2 linked regions of the Pelodiscus sinensis genome follow. The protein of the gene in region 2 interacts with the protein of the main gene of each other region in a pairwise test. Links are inferred from orthologs where the notes say so. Each region holds a gene or a part of one and is shown on either strand. Other genes may lie near its edges.

The links.
Region 1: the proteins of TRIM42 (region 2) and KLHL38 interact in binary tests that used the Homo sapiens proteins (3 or more experiments, as listed by UniProt). The two-hybrid records come from large-scale screens. The link is inferred for Pelodiscus sinensis from reciprocal best matches to the Homo sapiens genes TRIM42 and KLHL38.

What each region holds. Positions count from the first base shown.
Region 1 is NC_134712.1:19,646,571-19,654,306, reverse strand, and holds the start of KLHL38 (kelch-like protein 38), read right to left. Parts: upstream 3,015-7,736; 5' UTR 2,782-3,014; intron 2,254-2,781; 5' UTR 2,138-2,253; coding exon 788-2,137; intron 1-787.
Region 2 is NC_134720.1:12,775,140-12,782,491, reverse strand, and holds the start of TRIM42 (tripartite motif-containing protein 42), read right to left. Parts: upstream 3,033-7,352; 5' UTR 2,962-3,032; coding exon 2,609-2,961; intron 1,006-2,608; exon of another isoform or gene 582-1,005; coding exon of another isoform or gene 568-581; intron 172-567; coding exon 1-171.

The DNA.
Region 1 (7,736 bases), on a different chromosome or scaffold from region 2:
CTGCTGATCAGTTTCAGCAGCAGCTGACTTGGGGATGCCTGGGGTTCTTAAGTTGAATCTGTATGTAAGTCAGAACTGGCATCCAGATTCAGCCGCTGTTGAAACTGATCAGTTTCAGCAGCGGCTGAATCTGGATGCCAGTTCCGACTTACATACAGATTCAACTTAAGAACAAACCTACAGTCCCTATCTTGTACGTAACCCGGGGACTGCCTGTAATTGCCATCACAATTTGGTGTCTCTGCTGATACTGTCTGAGGATGAAGGACTGAGACCCTCAGTCAAGCAGACACTTAATCACCCACCTAATAGTGAGCATTGACTTCACCAGGAATACTCACATATACAATTAGCCATGTGGTTAAGTTCTTAGAGGTAGGGCCTGAGTAGGCATAACTTTGTAAGACTTTCAATATGACACCTTTCACATGCACCAAAATCATAGAGACTCTACCCTGAGATCTTGTACTCAGTTTTACTCAATGAGGAAAATCTCATTGAAATCAATGGGAGTCTGCCTGAGAAAGGACTGAGTAAAACCTCAGAAGGGCCTCAGGCTTTGGGCCTTAATAATAAAGGCTACTTGTGGAAATATAAAAACATTTAAACATAATTTTCTACATACTGGAGCATTTCCAACTTAGGCACGTGTTTCTTGCCTTCTACCGCATGAGACTCAATGCAAATTCAGTTCTATCTTGGGCTTTGATTTCACCCACTAGGTTTGGTATCAATCACTGAACACCCTAGACGAAATGCACGTATATTGACCAGGAGCAACAGTTACCTGTATTAGACGGACAGGGTTCTGCATAATATCTTCCCCTCCAAAGAGATAAATTCTTTGGTCTTTAGCTGCAACAGCAGGATGAAGTACAGCCACGGGCATGCTTGCCATATTCTCCCAGATGTTATAAATGCTATCGTATCTCTCCATGGAATTCAGTATTTCCTGGTTCTCTCCAATTCCTCCAATTGAGAAAATGTAGTTCTTATAGGCTATGCTTCTGTGGGAATAACGTGGAACCAGCATGGGTTCAACTAACCTCCATTGATTTAGCTTGAGGGAGAAAATATAAACATGATCACTGACTGGACTTTTCTCATTGCTAACGGGCATCCCTCCTAATACATAGATATTGCTATGCAGGCTCACTGTGGAAGCTTTGTAAAGGCGCACAGGATGCTTGGCGAGGCTCAGCCACTGGTTGGTTTTCTCATCATACAGCAGGACGTCCCTGGTTGTCGTCTGGTTGTCCTTCCTGCCACCAATGATTATGAGAAACTCTTGGTATGAATATCGGCGAGGAACGTGCCACATGGGTTTGATGTCAGGAGTGCTGGTGCTATACAATGAGAACATCTGTCTCCGGGCTGATTCCAGGATGCTTCTACAAGCGGGTGAAGACTGAATGAGGGAGTCATTGGCGATGAAGTGGAAAAGGAAGGTTGGGTGGACATACTGGAGCCGGACCTTCTTGAACAAATCTTGGATGTAGCCCTGTCGTGTTTGGAGGTCATGCCGGATCCAGACCATCAGTGTCTCAAACACTTGTTCCTCCTCAGCACAGAGCTCATCATCCCCCAGGTAATCAATAAGTTCCAGGGCACAAAGCTCCTTCAGGTCTTCAGAAGATGCTACTGCAGGAAAGCACTTCAGAGCCATCTCCTTGGCTTTCTTATTGAGATTCTGGCAGTTCAAGATTTCAGAGAACCTTATCATGCTCAGGCAATTATCAGGAGTCAGCTGTCCCTGGAGGTACAAGGAGCAGGCCTGAAACAATTTTATGTATTGTAACATAGAAGTGGCCTCCATGAGGTACAAGACGTTCTCGGGTGTTATAAGAATCTCTCCTGTGTAAACATAAAGGACAATCTGATACAAAATATTGAAGTCAATGCCTTTCAAGTCGACTTTTGCTTGGCAACTCTCTTTAAAGTTGTTACAGAACATTGCCTTGAAGTAAGGACTGCTTGCAGCCAGCACATTCCTGTGGCAAGGGATTTCAAACTCACTAGTGCAGAGAGTAACATCAGTCAACATCCCCTTTTGCCTTAAAATGTTGAGCTGCCTCAGCAGTTCAGAGGAGAAGTCCTGGTCTGTGAAGAGAAAGTCCTTTGCAGATTCTTCCTCCATAGCGAAACGTGGGAGAGAAGAATATTGGGCTTGGCAGAGAAAACAAATTCTTAGCAGCTTTTATTTCAATGCCCTGTCCCAAAGTGGCCAGGGAACAGATCTTTGATGGTTACTCTCTGTTTGTGCATAGAAATAGGAACACTGGTTGAGTGGAGTGGGAAGGCAGTACACAAACCAAGTGGTCACTCAGCATCTGTTTGTTTTTTAAAGGTATCAGATGTGAGGTCTGACTCTTTTATTAGCACGACACAAAACATAAGCACTACAGTTCTGTTGCTGACTTGGATTTAATGTGAAAAGCCCTAAGCAAATTGTATGTTCATTTTAAACATGTCTAATAAATGTACTTAGCCTGTTCTTTGCTAGTTTAAAAGTATTCACAACGGAGTAACTTATGACTCCTTCCCTTAAAGTTAGTCATTCCCAAAGAATGTAAATCTGGCAGAGCTAAACTCTGCAGTAGGACAAACTTCAGAGACTTGGAATCTGCATTAAAATGGCTATTAACTCTGCTTAGCTGTTGTTTTATATTAATTAGACATACAACTAAACAATGTGCCAGGCAGAATGATAATATGGCTATCTATCTTCATGGCTATCTGACTGCTCAATATGCAGTGAAATTACAGCTTAGAAATGTTTACCTTATGTTGTCCTTGACTGCACTTCACTCACTTTGTGCCGTTTATTCTTTGCTGAGATTTTCCATAGCTAGTACATGAATAAAAACTATATACCCCCAAGACGTTCCTTTCTGTTGGTAAGTGATTCATAGAGGGCCTTTTCTGAATTTGTTTATTCTGAAGGCACTTTCCCTGCTTTCAGGAGCTTTGTGAAAGAACCACCAGGCAATGAGGCATTGTGTACATTCCAGGGCTAAGAATAGTCACATATGGACTTCTCACTGTTATCACATGTGACTTTCCCCATGCCTTTTGCAAAGAGCTAGACATTACTGAGCATGCCCAAGGGGTGTTTTTTTGGCATGTGTTTACATATAACAAATAGACTCTGAAACCAAGGTACACTTATAAAAGTCCTGGCTGTCCATTTCGAAACAGCCGGAAGGCCCTGTCCTGAAGTGCCTGGGAATTCTAGAAGCCTGTAAACAGTCTTAAGTGCCTACCACTGGGCATGTTCAAAAGTTTCAGAGGGATAGCCAAGTTAGTCTGCAACTGAAAAAACTTAAAAAACAATGAATAATCCTGCAGCACTTTTTAGAGACAAACAAAAAATGCAGATGGTATCATGAGCTTTCATGAGCAAAACCTACTTCTTCAGATGAATGGAGTTAAGGGGTCCAGGTTTCCAATAAATAGCAGAGAAAGAGAGGGGATGAGGAGGGAAAGAGAAGGAAAAAAATGGGAAAAACTATTGTCAGTTAGGGTATGTCTACACTACAAAGTTAATTCAAACTAACGGACATTAGTTCAAATGAACTTTGATAGGTGCTGCACTAGCGCTTCGCTAGTTCGAACTTAATTCGAACTAGCGGAGCGCTTAGTTTGAATTAGGTAAACTTTGGGCAGGGACACCACTCCTACCCCCTGGCTAATACCACTCCATGGACCCAACCTCCATGACTTTATCTCACTTCTCTTTAAACTCTGTTATAGTTCTATCCTTCACAGCCTCCTGCAGCAAGGAGTTCCACAGGTTGACTCTTTGCTTTGTGAAGAACAACTTTCTGTTACTAGTTTGAAGCCTGCTACCCATTCCTCTCCTTTGTTGTCCTCTAGTCCTTCTATTATGGGAACTAATGAAGAACTTTTCTGTATGCACCCTCTCCACCCCACTCATGCTTTTATAGACCTCTATCCTATCCCCCCTCAGTCTCCTCTTTTCTAAACTGAAAAGTCCCAGTCTCTTTAGCCTCTCTTCATATGGGACCTGTTCCAAACCTCTGATCATTTTAGTTGCCCTCCCCTCTCCCACCCTCTCTCTTCCCCTCTCCCACCTCCTTTTCCCAGTCTCCCCGAGTTTTGTTCAATAAAGAGGGATTCTATTTTTGACCACACGTTTTCTTTATTTTGTACATCAGGAAGGGGGGCTAGGGAAGGGTAAGTGGAAGGAGGTGAGGGAGGAATGGTGTACGAGCCCCCGATGGGGAGGACTGGGCTGGCTCTGCGGGCTTCTGGGGGTGGAAGCTCTCCTACAGCCCCCCAATTGCCCCCTTTCCCCAGATGGCAGCCTGCGGCAAGTGCAGCCGGTCTGATGGCCGAGTGCTGTGATGTGCCGAGTGTGGGCACTCAGGGCACTCCAAGCCAGGACTGCTTTGCAAGCGGGGAACCCTTGAGAACTGTCTGTCCGTGGTGGGGGTCGGGACCCTTTAAGCACAGCCCTCGGCTAGCCTGAGACAGCATCTCCACGCTCTACGTCCTCATCTGATTCCCTGCCGGCACTGCTTCTGGCCATCCTTAACCCCGGTTCAGGGTCCACTTAATGTGGACATGCTAGTTCGAATTAGCAAAACGCTAATTCGAACTAGTTTTTTAGTCTGGATCCGTTAGTTCGAATTAGCTTAGTTCGAATTAACTAAGTTAGTTCGAATTAGCGCGGTAGTGTAGACATACCCTTAGAGTGTCCATGCTAAATGAAGCTGATAGATTGGGTCCTAAGTACTCTTAAGTGCCTGGTGCTTATCATTTCACACAGCAGATCAGTGTCAGAAGCTGCAATGGAACCCAGGAGTCCTATCTCCCTGTCTCTGGTGGTGATCACTTGAATGGTCAGAAATTCCTGACGTCTGCATGCAGTTACACCCAGGTAAAAACCAGACAAAGTCCTTTGGTGCCTCTGCTCTGCTATGGGGAGCACATCGCTAGTCCTGCTCTTGCACCGTTATCTTCACCCCAGCGGATCACAGCGCTGTGGTGTCATCTGTTCCTATAGTATAGAAACAGAGGCTGCTTCATACTACAACCTGGGCCCCATGTGGCAGTTTCCAAATATGTATTTACATAAAACCATGTTACATAAAACCATGTTAACATAACTGAGGGCTAGACAGTGCTGTCAAGATACCGCCCTGTGCTGGGGCAGGGCGGAGCTGGGGACAGAAGCAGGGGGAGCACTGGGAAGCATCTTGGAGCCTCTCTGGTTACACAGAGAGGAGCATAGTCTGACACCCCCCCATTAAATAACCCCATCCTGTGCAGCCAGCCAGCCAAATCTATCGGCCAGTGCAGATGGGGGAGTAGGTAGAACTCCATAGCCCTGCCTACTCCTCTCTCTCTCTCTCTCTCTCTCTCTCTCCTTCTCCCACTTTCAGGGGACGTGGTCCCGAGCAGCATAATTAGTAGCCCTTGCACTCCCAGGAGCATTGTCGCAGCAATGTGGGCCATGCAAGGTGGGCTGGGGGAAGGTGCATTGCTGCCTTCCATACCGCTGCCTAAAGAGCTGGTCATCATTATGTCCTAAATATTTACAGTACAATTCAAAAACCAAAATTAAAGGTTCTGCTCCACATTCAGGGAAAATTAATGATGCTGAAACCCGAGCAGATAAGTCAAAAAGCAGCCAGGCATGTCTGCGTTATATGGTGGTTCTTATGCTGAGTGCTTTGGCATGGTGTCTCTCTGCACTAGCACTAGCTCCTTTAGGGTTTGTTTGTTTAGCTTTTCTGGCAATAGCCAAGGATTTATTTTTTAACCCTTAAAGAAACTATCACAGTCCTTCAATCCTGGATACGCTTCACTTATATTGACATTTTATGGTGTCGGGAACTGGGGTTAGATGGGTGGGATTTTTGCTGTTCCTCTTGTTCTGGATGCTGGTGTATGTTTGAAAAACATTTATAACATCAAATCTTGAGGTCTTTACTTATGCAACATCCTTCTGACTTCAGACCCTGGCCCATATAGTTTAAATAAACAATTCCTGTTTGACTGGGAATTGATGCTAAGACTTCACAAAGGGTTTCTGCTAATTCCGGCCATGCCTCTGGGGAAGTGAAGGTATTGCTGCCCGTCTTTGATTACCTCTTCCCTTTGCATGAAGGGGGGAGGAAGGGCTAACAGTTTCAGAGATGATTCTCCCAACAGTGGCGCACCTTAGAGAGCTATGTGCCTCAGCTGGATCATTGTCAATGAGTTTGCTTGAATGATGTCATAGTCATAACTGTTTCAGCTTGACACAGAGCAGAGCCTGCAACTGAACTAGCAGCAAATGTTTGGGATGGGTTTTCCTGTTAGTTAAAATATGTTTTCATGCAGCATATTAGAAATAACCAGGTCTCTCTCTTTAATGCTTAGATTGGCCCAGGTACCTCAGCACCCTACAATATATCACAAAACCTCTGTGAAGTAGCAGTGTATCTCACAGGGAAACTAGGGTGCATCTACACAGCACCCTAAGCTCAAAATAAGCTACACAATTTGCACTATGCAAATTGTGGAGCTTATTTTGAGTCTATTTCGAAACAGGCTGTTTTGAAATTTGGCACTGTCTACACAGCATCAAATTTTGAAATAACGCGCTATTTCGAGCCATCCCTTAACCCTTGTGCAACGAGGTTTACAAGGATGGTGAAATAGCATCCGTGTTATTTCAAAAACTATTTCAAAATAACAGGCATGTTTCTAAGATGCAAGGTAGCTACAGCATTTTGGGATACTGAGGTATCCCAAAATATCACCTCTCTGTAGATGTATCCTGAGACACAGAACAACTAAGTGACTTGATCAAGGTCACATAGAAACCCTGTGGCATAACATGGAATTGAACCAAGGCCTTGTCACATGAAGGTCAGTGCCTGAACTACTGGACCATTGTAACAAAAGCCTCTGAAGCCTCTTGTTTATATGTCTGGATGTTGTGTGCAGGACATACAGGTATCTGTGTAATCCCTCCCTTAGTGCCAGAGGAAGAGTCATGCTATTATGTTACCCAGCTCTGGAAAGAGAGGCAGTGATATCTGTTATCATTCACCAAGGAGTGTGATTGAAATAAGATGCAAAACAGCATGTTAGCAGAGAGCTGCACAAAGCACACCTGTGATACCAGGTAATGTTTCAAAGCAAGTGATAAGAACAAATTGTGAGAAAAGAAAGTGAATCTGTATGTCGAGCAGTTTGGTCTAGTGGGTTAATTTGTTGTTATTAGCACTGTGGCCGTGGTTGCAAGTCCCCAGATGAGTCCGCAGCTCTACTGTGCTAGGGACTGAACAGGTATGAGGTGACAGGCAGCCTGTTCTCTAGAGAGCTTAGAATCTGGACCAGACAAAGGGTGAGAGATCAGAAGTGTTAGCCCCATTTTCAGTCTTTTTTAACATCTCTAGTATTGATCTGGGAGAAATGTAACTTGAATCCCCTCCCACACCCAAACTCCCTCCCAGAGCCTGTGCCCTGCACCTCCTCCTGTCCTCTGAGCCCCTTAGCCCCAGCATGGAGCCCCCTCCTGCATTCCAAATCCATCATCCCTGGCCCCACCCGCCTGCACCCCCAACTGGAGCCCCACACCCAACCCACTGCCTCAGGTCAGATCTCCCCTCACCCCACCCTAAACACCTCATTTCTGGCCACATCCCAGAACCCCCTCCCCAGTACAGAGCCCCCTCTCAGACCATATCCTTCTGCTTCAGCCCTGAACCCCATCCCAC
Region 2 (7,352 bases):
CACTTCTCACAAATGCAGTGGTTGCATGGCAGCATAAATGGGTAGAGATATAGTTGTTTACACAATGGACAAGTGAGCTGGTCACGAAAAGCATGTCCTGATGCATCTCTCTCCAGTGTAATGATTGATGTGTCACTTTTACTTCGAAACCTTGGTAAGGCAACTTTTGAACTGAAAAATAACCCCCCCCCCAAAATGGATTCTCGGTAAGAAACAGATTCTAATGCACATGGTCATGTTGTACAACCCCATCAATTTCTATTTTCCCCAAGATTTTTATTTAAAGAAACAGGTTACGACTGTGCTTTCTTCTGCCAGCAGTACATGCAATGAGCATTTCTGTTCACAGTAATAGTTGCATATTGGTTTGTACAGTGTATATGAAGCTGCCTGTTTTATTTTGCAAGATATTCCTTTTGCCATTACCAACCACAAGTGTTGCAGCTGTTACACAAACATCACTAGCAAACACCTGTATTTAATTTCATCTCTTTTTCTTGTTTATATGCTTTGCATGTTAAATTATAATGAGTTGTTATACATGTGAATAGTAAAATAAAAAGGTACCTCAACAACTGCATCTAACTGTAGTTTGACTTACAAGGAGAATCAAAGTCAGTGTTATAATGGCACCTTATTGCCAACTCAAGATTCTTTGTGGACAAAAGTTTAAAAAGTGAGTTGGGTGTTTTAAAGTTTTCAATGCCTGACTTGGGATGCCTTAAAAAAGCCTGATTTTCAGAAAGTGCTCTGTAAGTCAGGCTATGTCTAATGTGTATCCAGCAGGGCACTTGGAATCTTCCTGGTCACTTTTGAAAAACTTGGCCAACTGTCTCTCCACGATCATTCCAATGAAGATGACATAAGCTCAGTTGGTTAATATAGTCACTAGAACGATGAGATAAAATTGCTGCCTCATCATTCAGTCTTTGCTGTAGACTTGGCTGTGGCTTTGTACCCACTCCCTGCTTCTCTAATGCTGCCTTCACTCCTACTTTTCTTTCCTCTCCATGCTTGTTGCTGCTGTTTAATCCCATATTCCAAAGCTCCTCACACACTCCCACATTGCTGCTTCTCCCCCTCGGCTGTTGCCTGTCCCCTCCTGCATGTATCAATTATTGTGTGTAATATCATAAATAAACAGATTCTTCCTAGTGCTGCCCTTTCAGAGCCAGAGTTACATATTTTAAAGGCAAGAATCACTTACGTGTCATGTAGCTCAGCAGATCAATCAGTTTTTTTCTCTACTCGCAGTCTAACTTTTTATTGTTACTAGCACTACTTTGGTCTGGCTACAATTTCTCAGAGCCATATCTCCCCCTCCCCCCATTGTGGTTCCTTAATGTAATCTATGCTTGGTGCTGTACGTATTTCAATTCCCTCCCCTCAAAACTAGCATCATCCCATCTTTTTACTCTTTTGAGAAGATTTTTTATGCAATTGACTCTTCATTTTCCTCTACTCCCATACCTTGCCCACCATTTTCTATTAGAGTACATTTAGACTATGGGATAAAGTAAAATTAATATACACAACTTCAGGTACATTAATTGCGTAGCTGAGGTTGAAGTACCTTAACTCGACTTTTGGCGCTGTCTACACAGCAGGAAGTTGAAGCGAGAATGTTCTCCCTTCGACTTCTCTTACTTCTTGTGAAAGCAGGGCTACCGGCATTGACTGGACCATCCCTCACAGTCCAAATTGGCTGTCTTAACGTGACATGCTAATTCGAACCCTGGAAGACTGACAGCGGCAGCTTCGATCTTCCTCTAGAGTACACATACCCTCAGTCAGCATTTTTCTCTTACATCAGACTTCATATGCCTCTTTCGAAAGCATGTGTCCCATCTCACTGCACACTCCTCTCTTTCATTTTCTCGGGCTTTCACTCACTTAGGCTACGTCTAGACTGCCTAAAAAGCTACTTCTTTTGAAAAAGCCTCTTTCAAAAAAGAGCGTGTAGATTACAACCATTTCTTTTTCAAAAAAGCAAGCCGCCTTTTTGAAAGAGAGCATCCAGACTACCTGGATGCTCTCTTTCGAAAAAGCACAGTTTGTATTACATAGAGCCTTTTTTTGAAAGAGCACTTTCAAAAAAAGGCGTTATTCCTTATGAAACGAGGTTTACCATGGTTGAAAAAAAAAACTGCGTTCTTTCAATTTATTGTTGAAATAATGAGGCAGTAATCTAGATGCAGATAAAGATTTTTTGAAAAAAGGCCACTTTTTTCGAAAAATCCCTGCAGTCTAGACACACCTTAGAGCTGGGGGGAATTTGTTAAAATCCAAACAGTTCACAAAACAGAGTCCTTTTCATAGAATTTTCAGCCTTGAATAAATTTCAGGAAAAAAGTTTTGAAAAATTGTCAAACCATTTTGATATTTTCTAAATGAAAAATTCTAATTGCCCACTTCAAAATATCTTTTTTTTTTAAATCTATAGCTTAAAGAGCAACAGCAAAATGGAGCATTTTGAAATGATGGAAATAAAACATTTCATTTGATCCAAATTGAAATAAAAGTTCAGGGTGTGAGTTTGGTTTTGGGGTACACAGATGATTTTTTAAATTTTCCTCCTGATTCAGAATCATTCTTCCAATGCACTTACTGGTGTCGTCTTCTGGCTCTGGGAAGGTATGATGCATAGAGGGTATTCCTGCAGCATCTGCTTTCATAATATTGGCAGGTGGTGTTCTCTGAAGTACAGCAACAGCATTTGCAGTCTGGGTCATTTGAACAGGAGCAGCAGCACCAACGACAATTTGGATTCTCTGAACACGAGCAGTGACAACACTGGCAAGCTCTGCCTTCTGCATATGGGCAGGGGCAACAGCTACAATTCCGCTCATCAGTGAAGAAAAAACGCCAGCATGAACAGCATTCTTGATCAGTCCTTTGCAGTGGGGGGCAGCAACGGCAGCCTGGGCAACATGGCCAGCTGAGGCATAACATACTGACCATTGTTCCACAAAACACTGATCACTTTACACAGTAGCACTTTTTAAATAGCTTTGAGCTGGGGTAAATGGTTCTCATTCCAGTTAGGAATAATGATGTCACAAGGAGCTATTTAACAAAGGACAATGTAAGTGATGTGCTGATTACATCACGTTTATGTCACAATTACTAAGATCGACCTGTGCTGTTTCTTGTATTGGTACTAGCAGAATTGCATGTGAGCTAGCAGCAGCCACATCTCCCCACATCCAGTGGTGCTTATGAATTTCCAGCAGAAAAGTCTGAACTGTGCTGAAACTTTGGGAGCACCATAATATAAATGGAACGCAATATAAAATAAACACAAGTAACACTACACTGCTTGTATTATTCGTGACTTTATTGAAAGAAATCATTTGCCTCAGAATGTCTAAAGTACAGGCAGTCCCCGACTTACGCGGATCCGACTTATGTCGGATCCGCAGTTATGAACAGGGCTTTTCTCGCCCCGGAGGACACGGACTGCGGGACCTTGCGGTCCCACCGCCCGTGTACTCCGGGGCGAGAAAAGCTGCTCCGCGTCTCCCTGGTCTGCAGACCAGGAAGACGCGGAGCAAAGCTGCGGAGGGGCTCAGGCAGCGGGGCAGCCCAGGTGCGCCTGGGCTGTCTCGCTGCCGGCTTCCCCCGAGGCTTTGCAAAGCCTCGGGGGAAGCTGGCAGCGGGACAGCCCAGGCGCACCTGGGCTGCCCCGCAGCCCCAGCCCCTCGGAACTGTCTTCCAGATTCAGCCGCTGCTGAAACTGACCAGCGGCTGACTACAGGAAGCCTGAGGCAGAGTTGCTCTGCCCCGGGCTTCTTGGAATCAGCCGCTGATCAGTTTCAGCAGCGGCTGACTTGGGGACACCTGGGGCAGAGCAGCTGGGGTGCTGCCCAGTTGGCCCCCGCAGCGCTGCCCCTGCGGGGACCTACCCGGCACGCCCCAGCTGCTCTGTCCTAGGCATCCAGATTCAGCTGTTGTTGAAACTGATCAGCGGCTGATTCCAGGCAGCCCAGGGCAGAGCAACTCTGCCTCGGGCTTCCTGTAGTCAGCCGCTGGTCAGTTTCAGCAGCGGCTGAATCTGGAAGCCAGTTCCGACTTACATACAAATTCAACTTAAGAACAAACCTATAGTCCCTATCTTGTACGTAACCGGGGACTGCCTGTACTGCAGATACATAGGGAGCCTTTCAGCACAATGTAGATGCAGCTTGCCACAGAGAACATGAGGATTTTTCTCCTACCATTATATGGGCGTATCTTTTTCAGGGAAGATGACCACTCACCCCACTCCTGTATCATCCTTCAAAATTCCTCCTCTTCCAGTTTCTTCCCATCACTTTGGATTGGTGATGTAAAGACTTCATTCCTAGAGGCACAATTTCAGCATCTACCCTTTATATCTGCATGATATCCATTTACAGATGAGAAACAGCAGGATTTTCAGAGGGATTAAGTGTATTATCCCAGTTCATGGAGAAAGTCTGCGGCAAAGCCAGCAAGGGTATGTCTACACTAGCTCAGTAGTTCGAGCTAGATAGGCAAATGAGGGTAGGATCTCTAATTCGAAGTAGCGGTACACCTCTTTCTGTGTAGCCACGGGCACGGAGTTCGGACTAAGGGGGATTTAAAAATGATGGCACCCAGGAAGATGCAAATGAAGCCCGGGATATTTAAATCCCGGGCTTTATTTGCAACTCCGGTTGCCCTCATTTGCCTACCTAGCTCGAACTACCGAGCTAGGGTAGACATACCCTAAGTGAATCAAGGATGCCTAAGAGCTGGCCCTGTGTCCTCAGTACAAGACCTTCCCGTTGAAGATAGTTTTTCCTTCCAAACATTACAAAGTTGACAATTTTTATCATGGATCCAATCTTGATTCTTTTGATAGTCTGCTCCAGGCTCCTGAAAGGCCTCTGCTGCTACAGACAGATCCCAAGGAAAGGGGTTCAGTCCTGTTCTACATGAAAGCTGGTGTAACTCATAGCCATTGAGGATGCATCTATGCTAAACTGTTATTTCAGAATAACAGTCATTATTCTGAAATAACAATGTGAGCGTCTATACAGCAATTCCATTATTTCACCTTCCCCAACCACCTGATGTAAATTTCTGTAAACTGCCTGCCATGGTCTAACAAGGCCTGGAGGACCATAGAAAAGTATTTCTTGTGATTAATGTAGAGAGATTCCCGGTGGTCGAGGGCCTGGATGGAGACGTGGGTGCCATCAATAGCCCCCCCCTGCAGTTGGGGAAGCCCATGGTGGCAAAGCCAGTGACGGTGAGGTCCATGTTGTTGAGCTGGATGACCCTGCACAGCAGGATGGTGTTGATGGCTGTCCCCACCTACAGAAGGAGACAAAGAATCACTGGGGTGACAGAGTCCTTGAGAGGCCACCAAGCCCCCCCCTTTCATGCCCACCCACACCAGGTGCCACCCTCTAATGTAGCCATCCCCCCTTTCCCTAGACTTTCCCTTTCCAGCACTTTACCTACCCCCCTCCTGGTATTGCAGCCTGAGAGTGCCATACCTGCACAATGAGGACCTGAATGGTCAACTTCCCCATGCCAAACTGATTGCCAATGGATCTCTAACTTTCCAGCATGGCGAGCTTCCAGATAGCGATGGCGACCCACTTCTCCATGGAGATGGGGGGTTTTATCTGAGTGTCCCATCATGTGAGGGCAGGGGCAAGTCAGGCACACAGCTCCAGAAAGTTCTTCTTCCTCATTCGGATATTCTGGAGCCACTGCTGGTTGCCCCACTGCTCCATCACAAGCCGGTCCCACCAGTTGGAACTGGTGTCCAGCTGCTAGAAGTGGTGGTGCACAATGGGGTGCAGGTGGAAGAATTGTACTCCCAGACAGAGGTTGAGGCTTCCCTCGAACAGCTGGGGGTCCATTTTTCTGGTGTACCTATACATAGTGGCTTGGTAGAATCTTCTGACAACTATTACTGTACTTCGCTTAACAATAAACCTGACTGGGCACCTTTGATCCTTATCTGATTTGTGTCTTTGCGGGCTTTCTTGAAGTCTGCTGTGTTAACTAACTCTACAAGTCAACACAGCACACATCACTGAGCACATGCAAGCAGCCTTCTAGTTATCATCATTGACAGAGCAGAAGACCTATCAGGACACCACAACAGTAAATCCTGACCTGACAATAATGGTGGCTCCTGAAGACTCTGTTCCCTACCCAAATTTGTCTAAATGGATGAAGACCTGACAGTAGATGGTATGTCTGATGCCGATGTCATTCACTGGCATGGGAAGGGAATGGTTGACTTAGCACTGACGGCATTTCTCAGGAAATACAAGAAAATGTTAATCCCTCACAAACCCATGCAAGGGACCTTCTATGCTTCCCGAGATACAAACAAAGGAACCATGGCCAAGGCACTATTATGGAAGGAATTTTCAAACTATTTGACACATAAAGGGCCACAACTGACATTCTGAAGAAAACCTATAACATTAACAACCTCCCTCAGAGCACCATCCTTTGCCGCCTACCAACACTTCCTTCCTATACAAAAACATCCCTCCCAATGATAGAATTGCTGCCTATCTCAAATGTTTACAAGAAAATGGGCAACACTCAGATGTCTACCCCAAACACATCACCAAACTTATCCATTTCATCCTCACCCATAACAATTTTACATTCAATGACAAACAGTTCATCCAAACGACTGAAACAACCATGGAGAGTAGGGTGTCTTTACAATATATCAATCTCTTTATGGGTTGTATTCAGGAAGAATTTCTGGATAAGTACATCAGAAAAGCAATTCTTCAGCTGCTCCCCGTAGGTCATGGGCTTTAGCCCCCTAATCATTTTGATTGCCTTCCACTGGACCCACATCCTTTCTGTAGTGGGGGGGCCCAGAACTGGATACAATACTGTAGATGTGGCCTCACCAGTGCTGAATAAAGGGGAATAACCACGTCTCTAGATCTGCTGGAAATGCTCCTCCTAATGCACCCTAATATTCCTTTAGCCTTCTTGTCTACATGGATACACTGTTGACTCATATTCAGCTTCACATCCATTGTAATCCCCAGGTCCTTTTCTGCCAAACTGCTGCTTATCCAGTTGGTTTCCAGCCTGTAACAGTGATTGGGATTCTTCCAGCCCAAGTGTAAGACTCTGCACATGTTCTTATTAAACCTCATCAGATTTCTTTTGGCCCAATCCTCCAATTTGCCTAGGTCACTCTGACCCCTATCCCTGCCCTCCTTCATATCTACCTTTCCCCCAACTTAATTTCATCTGAATACTTGCTGAGGGTGCAATCCATCCCCTCATCCAGGTCATTAATAAAGATGTTGAATAAAACCAGCCAGAGAACTGATACTCGAGGCACCCCGCTT